Lonchura striata: one gene and its partners. The protein of the gene in region 3 interacts with the protein of the main gene of each other region in a biochemical or structural test. Links are inferred from orthologs where the notes say so. Each region holds a gene or a part of one and is shown on either strand. Other genes may lie near its edges.

Region 1 (3,745 bases), on a different chromosome or scaffold from region 3:
TTTCTTACTTGCTATTATAGGAGGCAGATCTAAGGTAAAATACAATACCTCAGAGCTACACAAAATTCTCTCCTAAAGCTTCCTCCAACATCAAGTTTTAACGATGAAATAAGCATCACCAAGCAAAGCCATGACACACACTCAACCTAAATGTTTTATTGGACTAGTCAATCACACAAACTCTGGCACATTAAGCTTTTTCAAGACTTCTATGTTCAAATGTTTGAACTTATTATTTAAATGAAAGTGTAGATCTCTAGCTAAATTTGCAGGTATACAGAAACTGGAATAGTGCATTAATTCAAAAGTCTACCTAATCAAGAAGACACTGACTGGTTTATCGTTACATTTTTACCAGTACTTCCATATTACAGGATTTACGTGATTCCCTGTAAGTATCCCAAAAACATTTTGCCCATCAGCACAAATGCAGTATAGCTAAACAAGATAAATGTCTAATGATGACTTCACCTACTCTCTACCAAGACAGATGTGCCTGTGTCTTACTGCCCCAAAACCCCACAGGTGAAAATCTAACACACAGCTAACATCTCTCTGGGCTCCCTTCCCCCATCTCCAGCCCCAACTTTTTGCAGGGCGATTTCTTCGCTGAGGAATTGTCTAGTTACATCTGCAACTCAGCAAAACTCAGGTGAAAAGTCACTCCTGCAAACCCCTCCCCCGAGATACATCGACCCAGCAGACCGTGCACTATCCACGGTTTCTGAAGAAAAACTGGAACTTTTAGCTCGGGGCCTTGGGTAATGCAGCAGATGAGAGCATTCACTCACATTTCAACAGCGCGCATTCCAAGGAATCTGCACCCTTAGAGAGTCACCACAGGAGAGGAGGGCATTGCTGAGCAATTTCACTGTGGACAAGCTAACTACACAGCTGCTTGAACTTGTGCACATATTTAATAACCCTATAAACCTAAGTTATCACCTCTACAACATTTGTAGCAGGAACTAATTTCCAAAATCCACTCATATGGACAGCGATATTACTAGAAAACACTAGAAACAGACCTTTCAAATACAGAGCTGTAAACCCCCCAAAGAACGACCCACTATTTTGCACAAAAAGTCACATTTTTTGTAGAGGTTGTAAACGTGACAACGTTTGTTGACGTCAGCGACAACGTCGTACCTTTTGCAGCGGTTGTAAACTGAACTACAGCAAATCATGATTTAAAAATAGTAATTAATGGATTGTAAAAACAAAAAAAAAAAAGTTAACTTTACAAAGAGGTATTTTAATAAATGTTCATGAAGTTAGTGAAACGTTACCATGGAAAAACAAGTACTGTTTACATTAGTAAGCATCTCTACTTTAGCTAGGAAAACACTTTGTGGAGTCTTCGGTTTATTCAACAAGCCTCAGCTGTATGCTGTAGTAGATCCCTCCTACATACACTTTCATAAAGCGGATCTGAGCTTTCAAGATACCACGCTGCAAGCAGCGCTTATCCACAGGCAGCGAAGTGTCTCCAGAAACAAACATTCCCTCATTTTGCTACAAACAGCTGGGGAAACTTTTTCCCCCTCAAGGACACACCTCTGAACACGGTCACTCTTCCCACCCACCATCACACATACACGCACACAGACACACACACATTTTAGTCAGCATCACGTTCCACTCATCCAGCGCGGTTTGCAGCGGTACCAACGCAACCTCAGCTCCGTCCCCACACTAAAGCACTTTTATTCCCCATCCACACAAGGGCTCCTCGGAGTGTTTCCGTCCTGCCCGGCCTGGGCGATCCGGCGGGAGGGCGGCTCTTCCCCGGGGCCCAGTGCGGAGCAGGAGGGGGCGGTGGGGGACACCGGGGCGCAGCCGCGGCGAACAGCGGCCGCACGTGAGGCGAGGAGGGGGCAGCGCTCGCCCGGCTGCGCCCCGGGACAGGCGCTCGGCGGGCTCGGGGCGGGAGCAGCGGCCGCTCCGCCGCCGCCGGGGCAGCGCCCTTGAGCCGCCGCCGCTCGGGGCCCCTCCCGCCGGCCCGGCCCCCCCGTCCCTCCCCCGCCCCGCGGCACCGCGGCCCGGCGCCAGAGGCCCCTCAGCGGCGGCGCGAGGGTCCGCAGGGCGGGAAGGGCTCGCAGGGAGTCCCACGGCGGGAGCTGGGATGAGGAAGAGGTGGGGCGCCCGTCCCGTACTCACCGCCGAGGCGCCGCCGCGGTGCGCTGAGCCCCCGTTCTTCTCAGTGCCGGGGGCGGCTCCACCCGCCCGGGAAACACGGACCCCAGGAAGCAAAAGGCGAAGAAGCTGCGAAAAGCGTACCCCCCCCCGCTCCGCCGGCGCCGCCGAAAAAACACCACCGGGGGGGGAAAAAAAAAAACCAAAACCAAACTTTCCTCGCCGCCGTCTCTCCCTCCCCCGAGGAGCACGAACCCAAACACACCGGGACACGCCCCCGAACCGCCCCTCGCACCGCCCATTGGACGGCGCCCCGCCGACCCCCACGCTGATTGGTCGTTCTACCCGCTCGTCTTCTCCTTCCGCTCCCCTTTCCGCCCCTTCACGCTGCCCATTGGGAAGAGTCTCGGGAATCTCTCCGTCCATTAGCCAGGACGCACATCAATCACAGAGGAGCAACGCCCCCGGGCCCTTTTGATTGGGTTCTCGCGTCACTACACGCTCACTGATTGGCTGCATTTGCTGGCTGTCAGTGGTTAGCGTTGCCCCCCTTCACATCTCTCACTGGCTCCCGCCCCTTCTTCCTCTGCCAGTTAGCTGCGAGATTTGCCCCTTAAATGGGGCACTCGCTCGCCCGCTTCTACTTGTCCCGCCCTTCCGCCCTACGGATTGGGTTGTGGCTCGCACGCTCCGACTCCAGCAGAGAAGTAATGTGCCCGTTACACCGTAACGGCTCGAAGACCCGCCCACCGAGCCGCGCTCCGCGGCTGTCGCTGGAACCCTCCTCAGCCGAGGCGAGGTTTCGTCAGTTTGTGCACTCATGTGCGGGGCGCCGTGACGGCCACAGGCGATAGCGCGTACGGCTGCGGCTGCAGCTGCTCAGCGGCGCCGCGACACGGCACCAACGCCACACTGCCCGCCGCCCCCAGCGACATCTCCGCTTCGTCCCGCCCCCGCGCGACAGCTATTGGGCAGGATAGGTGTCAGTCATGCAGCTCGCGTCATGCATTGGCCGATAGCCGACGCCTGCGCAGCCAACCGACGACCACCCCCCCATGTCACCCGCCGGATGACACAGCAACCGTGGGCTGGGGGTGGGGGAATGCAGAGCCTGCCTATGATTGGTTGCTTCCACTGCCAATCTCCGTGGAAGGAGCACGGTGGGCGGGGTGACGGCGCGTGCCTGCCGCATCCCACGTGGCCCGAGCAGCCGCGCACGTGACGGGGGCCCGCGACCGGGAGCACTTGTGGAAAAGGCATTTAGGGTGACCACGGCGTCATTACTAAATGTAATCGTTACAAACACGCGCTGGTCTCCATTATTCGTGGGGTGGACAGAGTCAGAAACTGCGGGGTGTGTGTGGGGGGGTCGGTGCGAGGCTGAGGCAGGAGCGGGCCCGGGACGCTTCCCCGGGAGGTGGAGTGAAAGCCGGGATGAGCAGCCTCAGCCCTGGGCTGCAGAGCACGTGTGGGCCAGCGCTGCTGGATCGCAGAATGGGAAGGACACAATGGGAGGTACATAAGCAGGACCTGCATGGCACAAAGGATTAGCAGAGTGGAAGAGCAGGGCCAGAGGAGCGTTGAGAAATCACTGGGAGGAGCACATGGA
Region 2 (3,745 bases), on a different chromosome or scaffold from region 3:
CAAGTGGAGGGCAGAATAGACACATCCTTTCCTGGCCAGAAACTAGAATGCAACACTTGGGCAGCTATTTCCTTGGTAACTGCCAGCTTGTTTCAAAGTGCGTTTCTGAACCAGGGTGTGACACGGGGTCAGAAGACATCGCGGCTGGTACCGACAGCAGGGAACAACAGAGGTCACCATTGTCGCACAGGATGGAACCTCTTCAGAGCCCATTTTAGACCCTGGAGCTGAAATGCCTGGTTTCCACCAGTGTGATTGGACAGTTCTGTAGCAGGAACAAAGACAATTCTTTGTGACAAAGTGATCTTTAATGACAGTTTTCCTCTTTTCTAACCCAAACAGAATCTTTCTTTAATCTTAGTCAATGTAAAAAACCAGAAAAGCCTCCACTCATCCCTAATTTTTTTAAAAAGGGAGATCGATGTCTCTATTTTCTTGTTGTCTAACAACAGTTACCCCATAAAGTAAATATCAGTATTTATAGTACTAAAGATATGGGGAATGCTGTTACTTGGTACATTGTTACTTATTCTTTTCCAGATTTTAATAGTTGGGTAGTGTGTCCTTTTCATCCCACAGCCTGTTTGCTTTGTTTTTATGGTTGGTTGTGTGGTTTTTGTACCAAACTCTGAATGCCAACCAGTTTGAAGTATGTGGAGATTTCAGTTGCATCTCACACTGATGAGATCATCTCACTTTAAAAATGTTTGTAAGGAATTTGTGAAATCAACATAAAAGTACATTTTTAATTTGGGGTTAAACTCTGAAGGTTAGGTCTAATTACACAAATATATGACATCAAATATCTTTTTCTTATAATAGAGAGAGGGTAGTGGGGACAAGATTGTAAGGAACAGCACAGATTGTATCCTGTGCTTTTAAATCAAAAACTCCTGTCAGCAGGCAGGCTCAAAGAGGAATGAGCTGTGGAGAAAGACACCCAATTTTATAAGAAAATAACTTCCAGAATTCTCCTGGCATTTGTCTATTTTGTTTTCTAAGTATTCTGCTTGCTTTCTCTTTGAACCTACTTGAAATGGATAAATTTCATTCTTTAACCATGGTCTGCACTAAGGAGGGTTTCTTTCTGCTCTATTTTATGTTAGAAGGAATCAAGAATGCCAATTTCCTTCATTACTTCAGCTAAAATTGGAAAAATAGACCCATATGCTCTGACAGTTCCCACTGGATAAGACTGAACAGCTGCTCTTCTTCCTCAGCTTTTGTCATGGGATATAATTATTCTTCCATCCATAAAAAAACAGAAGGATGCCCTTTCAATCCTATAAAAATACCCAGTACTGTAACACTTAACAACATAATGGCAGGCATTACAGAAGTTCTGTTCTAAACAGCAGCAGAGGTTTGTGCCAAGAAAATACTTAATTTGATAATATCCCAGGCCTCTAGATCACTTTGAATCTGAAGTAATTTTATTCAGGTTGTTTTAAATGGATCTTAGGAGTGCTCCAGTCAGCTTTATCTTTTTCATACTGATTTTGCAGGCACACTGTGTTACCATGGCAAGTCCCCGGTAGAGAGCAGACAGAAGGAGGAAGCAGGATGTCCAGCAAACAGATCTTCCATTGAAAACAGACTGCCTTCCACTCAGCTTACAAGGGCAGTGGCTGGCCAGAAGTGGCATGGCATTTATGGTCATCTTTATCAGGCACCAAGGCCGATCACCATCCAGTCCTTGTGCAAGCAGGTGAGATCGCAGGAGACTCTCACTCCGTCCTCTGGCCTAAAACAAATGTAACTCATTCACCTCTGGCTGAAGGGTTTTGGTGGTGACAAAACCTTACCCTACACCAACTGTTTAATTCCAGACATTTCAGGGCACTTCTATAAACATTTAGCAGTTAACATCTACCAGATCAATGGAGTGTTGCCAAAGTACTGGAGTGAGACCAGTGCTCCAGCCAGGCAACAATCTGCCTCATGCAGTGACAGAAGGAGATGCTGCCTTGGGAGTCCACAAAACCCATCTACCTTCAGCTGTCCCTTCTTCTTCCACCTTCTGGGCCCTGCACCAGAAAAGACTAAAGGCTCCCCAGTGGAAAAGTAGAGCCTTGCCTTTGGCAGGAAAGTGACTTCTTACAGAAATGGCCAGCTGTGCGTGGAAAGGTGGGACATTTGGCATTGTCAAAAGGGATCACCTTTTTCCCCTGCGATAGAACAAGCCCATCCCCTCAGCTCCGTGCCTCCATCACCAGTCACTGCACAACGCGCAGCGGCACAAGGAGCGAGGCCGGGCGCTCGCCCCTTCCCAAGATGGCGGGCGCCGCCCCCGCCTCAGCGCCTCGGCGCGCCCCCGCCCCAGCGCGCGAGACCCGCCCGCCGCGCGGCGGGGGAGGGGAGCGAGGGAGCGCGCGCGCACGTGAGCGCCCCGAGGCTCTCCGGCAGGCGCTGTGTCCCGCCGTGCCATTGGCCGCCTCGCGAACCTTTCACCTTTTACCCGGCTGCGGCCGCCAATCGCCGGCCTCCTCTCATAGCGTGGGGGGATGCAGAGCGTGCGGACTGCGCAGGGCGGAATTCTCGGAGCGGGGTTGCGCCGCGGGCGCTGGGCAGCCCCCGTTGGTACGGGCGGGAGGGGCGGGGGCGGCGCTCCGTTTGCGTAGCGCCGACCGTAGCTCAGGGGCAAGGGAGGGAGGGGGAGGCCGTCCCGGGCCCAGGTGAATGGAGGGACCTGACAGCTGCGGGGACTGAGGCGGCGGCGGCGGCGGGGAAATGGCGGCGGCGGGAGCACAATGAGACGCGGCCTGTAGTAGGGGGAAGCGCCGGGCTGGGTCCGGTCCGAGCAGGTAGGAGATGGCGCGCCGGGAGCTGCATGGCGGCCGAGCGCGGGTGTGTCGCGCCCGCTGGCCGCAGCTCCCGTGGTCCCGGCGCCTCGGCCAGAGGGGAGGGATGGCGGCAGCCTTCCCTCCCTCCGTCCCTCCCGGGGCCCGGGCGGTGCTGCCCCGCCTCCGCCCCAGCGGCCTCCTGGGCCCCGCGGTCGGCCTGGGCCGCTGCCCCGGCGGGGCCCGCACGGCCGGGCCGCGGCCCCGCTCGGCTTTGTCTGCGAGCGGCGCCTCCCGGGGGCTCCGGGCCCCCGGCCCTGTCAGGGAAGGCAGTAAAGGAGTTGAAACTCAGCACTGCTGATGGTAAAGGCGATATAAGAATGTCTTGGTTCTTCTTTGCTTCCTTTCCATCCTTTTCCAGGGCAAATTAAGGCAGCGTGATTAAAGGCAGACCTTTTACTGTGTGAACGTGTGTTGAAAAGTGAAAGGTTGAAAGACATACATTTTTGCACAGGGCTTTTTTGTTGTATTAGGTAATATAGATGTAGCTCGCATGAGTAGAAAATGGGGGACGATACTGATATCTGACCAAAAAAATAAAAAGGTATTTTTTGTGTGCATTATGCTTAACCAGAAATTAGTGTTCAGTAAAAGTGAGTCTCAAAGTGAATAGTGAATCTCAGTTAACTGCTAACAGTCTGAAGGATGTTTGGCACTTCAGACCCTTCAGACCAGCTTTGAGTATTTTTGATGTTGAGATTTTGGTCTTCAAGTTAGGTGGTTGGCTCAAGTGGTGAAAGTGTGTATGTTGGAAGTATGTCTTCAGTTTTCTTTCCCTTAACGTGGTAATGAAAACAGTTAACTTTGCAGACACTCAGTTTGCCCTGTGTTTTATGTGTTTTCTTTAAGCCACTCTGGATGTTCTGTTGAAATGCTGACTGCATGTGCATGTTCTGTAGGTGGGG
Region 3 (3,745 bases):
CGGTCTCGCTGCAGAGCCCAGTTTGGACAGGGAGCTGGGAGAGCAAAGCCGCTCCTGCGCATCAGCGGCTCCGGCAGGGGATCCGGACAGAGCAGAGATGAATGGAGCCTTTCCCTGGTGTCAAGGATGTGCTGACAGACCTGGAGAGGCTGCAGCCCTCTGCTGTGTTCACAGCAGCTCTGGCTCGGTGAGGGGTTGTAAACCACACTTGTGCTCTCTCCTCCGAGCAGGATTTCACACACAGTGGGTTTGTAGTTCTCAGATTAACATGTGGCAGGGGACTTCACAGTCCCTGCTTCCAGGCTGGTTCACAGAACAGCCACGCTCTAATAAAAATCTCCAGGATGCCCTGCCTTGTGTGTGGAGTGGAGCAGGAAGCTGCCTGGGCTGCCAGAAGCCACTGAGCTGCTGAGGCTGTCCGTGGATGATTTCACAGGAAGGAAGCAGAGCCTCGCTCACCATGTGGAGAACAACTCGCAGCTCCCACCCCGGCACAGACACGGGGAAAGGGCTGAGCCACGCTGATAAACTCGGAAGTAAACAAGACACAAGATGAGCTCGGCTGGAGGCAGCAGAACAGCAGGAGCCCGAGACACACACCGGTGACAACCCACAGCCACCTAGAACTTGGTGAAAGTACAGCCGAGTCAGCAGCCCGAGGTTAAGACGTTGTTGTTCCAAGAAGGTGAAAACATTCCTTCACACCAAACGTGCATCCCTGACGGCAAACAGCAGCCACCAGCTGGGAGAACATTCCAAGTGAAAGGGAAAGTGGTAGGATCGAATAGAGAGTAAATAAAGATAAAGAGACTCCCACACATGAAACTACTCTCAGCCCATGTGCTGGTAATATTTTTAATTACCTGTCTCCTTAAGCACATTTTCAAACAAGATCACCACGAGGTGAACATAGCATCAGCCCGATGTTGAGGCACCATGAGCACCTGTAAACTGAAAGTGTACCTGTGCCTGAGCAAGGGAACCCGACACCAGAAACCACCAAAGGATTACACCTGTAGTTCTACAGTTATCGGTACTGAAATGTGAAATGTGCAATTGATGTTACACATGAAAGCAAGATCGTGAACACCAGTCTGGGGACACAGAGCTGTAGAGACCTGTCTGCCTGCTGTGCCCGGTGAGAAAGTAAAAACGGAGGATCTCTACTTCAAGAGGAAAATAATCATCCTGATTGTCTTTCCTAATTATTGCCCCTTCAGGAGAACCAAGTCAGAGGAAAAAAAGAAAAAAAAAAAAGCCAGCACCTAACAGTGGATCCCAAAATATAAATGCTTTTACCAAAGCGTCTGTAAGAGAAACACTAAAAGACATCTCAGTTACAGGTCCTGTACTTCCCTACACCAGTCCTTGCTAGATTATCCCTCTAACGGAAGAAATGTTTTGCAAAACAATTGAGAACAGTGGGATAAAATAAAGTTCCATTTATTCTGCAACTTTTCTACAAGAAAACTAGGTGCCAGTCACCCAAACACTATTGTTTCTACATAAGAATTCTCACCGCAGAAACAACCTAACACTAAAAAGGAGAAAACATTGTCTCATACGAACTGCACAAACTCGCACAGTATTAACCTGCATTTCCCCAAAGCGATACTAAACTCTCCCCGAGAGTTGCTAACCCTGCTTTGCACGTCCACCTTTCCTTTGCTCCCACGCAGAGCGAGCCTGAGGACACCTCACGCTGCCCCTCGCCTCCCCCAGCCCTCCCGGCATGCGGACGCTCCCCGACCTCCAGAGCACAACTATCGCAGCGCGGCCTCCGAGGAACACGCGGCCAGCCGGGAATCCCAGCATGGAGCCGGGAGAGAGGAAATGGAGACCCCGGTCCGCAGCGGGAGCTGCTCCGGCCTCGGGGCCCGGCGGAGGGAGGGGGAGCGGGGCAGGGAAGGCGACCCTCCCCTCAGAGGCGCCTCCGGACACGCGGCCCGGCCCGAGGCGGCGGCGGCGCCCTGACCCTCCTTCCTCCCCGGCCAGCGCGGCCGCCGCTCCAGCCAGGCCCGAGCCGGGGGGAGCGAGGCGCTCCCGGGGCTCCCCAGGGACACGGACCGGGAAAGCCGCTCCGGGGGGAAACAAACCCGGGCGAAAGCTCACCGGGTCCGGCGGAGGGGGCTCCCGGGTACATGTCTCCGTGTGTGCGGCGGCGGAGGCGGCGGCGGCTCCAGGGGAGGGCACGGGGGAGGGAGCGAGCCCGAGCCCCGGTTACGCTGTCGGGGGAAGGGGAGGAGGAGGAGGAAGGGGAGGGGGGAGGAAAAGAAAAGGGGAGAGGAGGAAAAAAAAAAAAAAAAAAAAAAAAAAAGAAAAAAAAAAAGAGGGAGGAGGAGGAGGGCCGGGAATCCAGGTTACTCGTCGGCACTGAGGAGCGGGGAGGGGAGGAGGAGGAGCCGCGGGTCACGGGGAAGGAGCGCTCCGCCCCCCGGCCGGGCGGGCGGGAACGGCCGCGGCAGCGGGACGGGATCGGAGCGGCGCCGAGCCGAGGGGCCCCGCTCCCCGCTGCGGCCCCCTGTCCCTGCCTGCAGCCCCGCTCCCCGCTGCGGCACCCTGTCCCCGCTGCAGCCCCGCTCCCTGCTGCAGACCCCTGTCCCTGCCTGCAGCCCCTTGTCCCAGCTGCAGCCCCTTATCCCAGCTGCAGCCCCTTGTCCCAGCTGCAGCCCCTTATCCCAGCTGCAGCCCCCTGTCCCTGCCTGCAGCCCCCTCTCCTCGCTGCAGCCCCTTGTCCCAGCTGCAGCCCCGCTCCCCGCTGCGGCACCCTGTCCCTGCCTGCAGCCCCTGTCCCTGCCTGCAGCCCCTGTCCCTGCCTGCAGCCCCTGTCCCTGCCTGCAGCCCCTTATCCCTGCTGCAGCCCCCTCTCCCCGCTGCAGCCCCCTGTCCCTGCCTGCAGCCCCTTGTCCCAGCTGCAGCCCCTTGTCCCCGCCGCAGCCCCCTGTCCCTGCCTGCAGCCCCCTGTCCCCGCCGCAGCCCCCTGTCCCCGCCTGCAGTCCCCGCCCGAGCTCTGCCCGCGGAGTCACAGCATCAGCCAGGCTGGAAAAGTTCTCGGAGATCACCGAGTCCAGCCTGTGACCGGACATCACCACGTCCACCGGACCAGAGCACGGAGTGCCATGTCCACTCTTTATCCTTAAACACTTCCAGGGATGGTGACTCCGCCACCACCCTGGGCAGCCCATTCCAATGTTTAATCACCCTTGCTGTGGAGAAGCTCCTCTTAATGCCCAGCCTAAACCTCCCCCGGCACAGTTTAAGACTATGTCCTGTCATCCTGTGGCTTTCAGTGAGACCTTGGAAAATGACTTTGTGCCTCTAGCACTTTCTCCGATACCTCTCCCTGTTACAAGTGTGAGAGGTATGCTGGAGTTGTATCAATAGTACACATACTGCTGGATCTTGAATTAAAATTAGATGTGTTTGTTTATATTCTTTTATTCCTCCTGTTGCTCTGAAAACCTCAGCTCAGTAACCTCATGGATTCCCACATCCACTTGTAGTCATATCTATGAAACCCAGCTGTGGTGGGGTTGCCTTATTGTCTTTGTCAACCTGATAATGTCTGGTACTGCACACATGTAATGTTTAGTACAACCAGATAATGTACTTGAGAAAACAAACTAGAAAGGATATGAAAGAGCCAAAGTGCTGATCAGTATGATACACTGAGACACTGGAGATATCCCTGGGGGAATTTCAAAGACATGGGTGTGGCATGTGGGGACATGGGTTAGTGATGGAC

Evidence for each region.
Region 1: the proteins of AGO2 (region 3) and TNRC6B form a complex in vitro, tested with the Homo sapiens proteins (3 studies listed by BioGRID and IntAct, with this or other methods). The link is inferred for Lonchura striata from reciprocal best matches to the Homo sapiens genes AGO2 and TNRC6B.
Region 2: the proteins of AGO2 (region 3) and DICER1 form a complex in vitro, tested with the Homo sapiens proteins (2 studies listed by BioGRID and IntAct). The link is inferred for Lonchura striata from reciprocal best matches to the Homo sapiens genes AGO2 and DICER1.

The regions. Positions count from the first base shown.
Region 1 is NC_134607.1:24,509,570-24,513,314, reverse strand, and holds the start of TNRC6B (trinucleotide repeat-containing gene 6B protein), read right to left. Parts: upstream 2,402-3,745; 5' UTR 2,161-2,401; intron 1-2,160.
Region 2 is NC_134608.1:14,772,344-14,776,088, forward strand, and holds the start of DICER1 (endoribonuclease Dicer), read left to right. Parts: upstream 1-1,482; 5' UTR 1,483-1,708; exon of another isoform or gene 1,709-1,744; intron 1,745-2,451; exon of another isoform or gene 2,452-2,580; intron 2,581-2,627; exon of another isoform or gene 2,628-2,804; intron 2,805-3,745. UniProt on the Homo sapiens protein: Double-stranded RNA (dsRNA) endoribonuclease playing a central role in short dsRNA-mediated post-transcriptional gene silencing.
Region 3 is NC_134603.1:5,035,930-5,039,674, reverse strand, and holds the start of AGO2 (protein argonaute-2), read right to left. Parts: upstream 2,289-3,745; 5' UTR 2,144-2,288; coding exon 2,113-2,143; intron 1-2,112.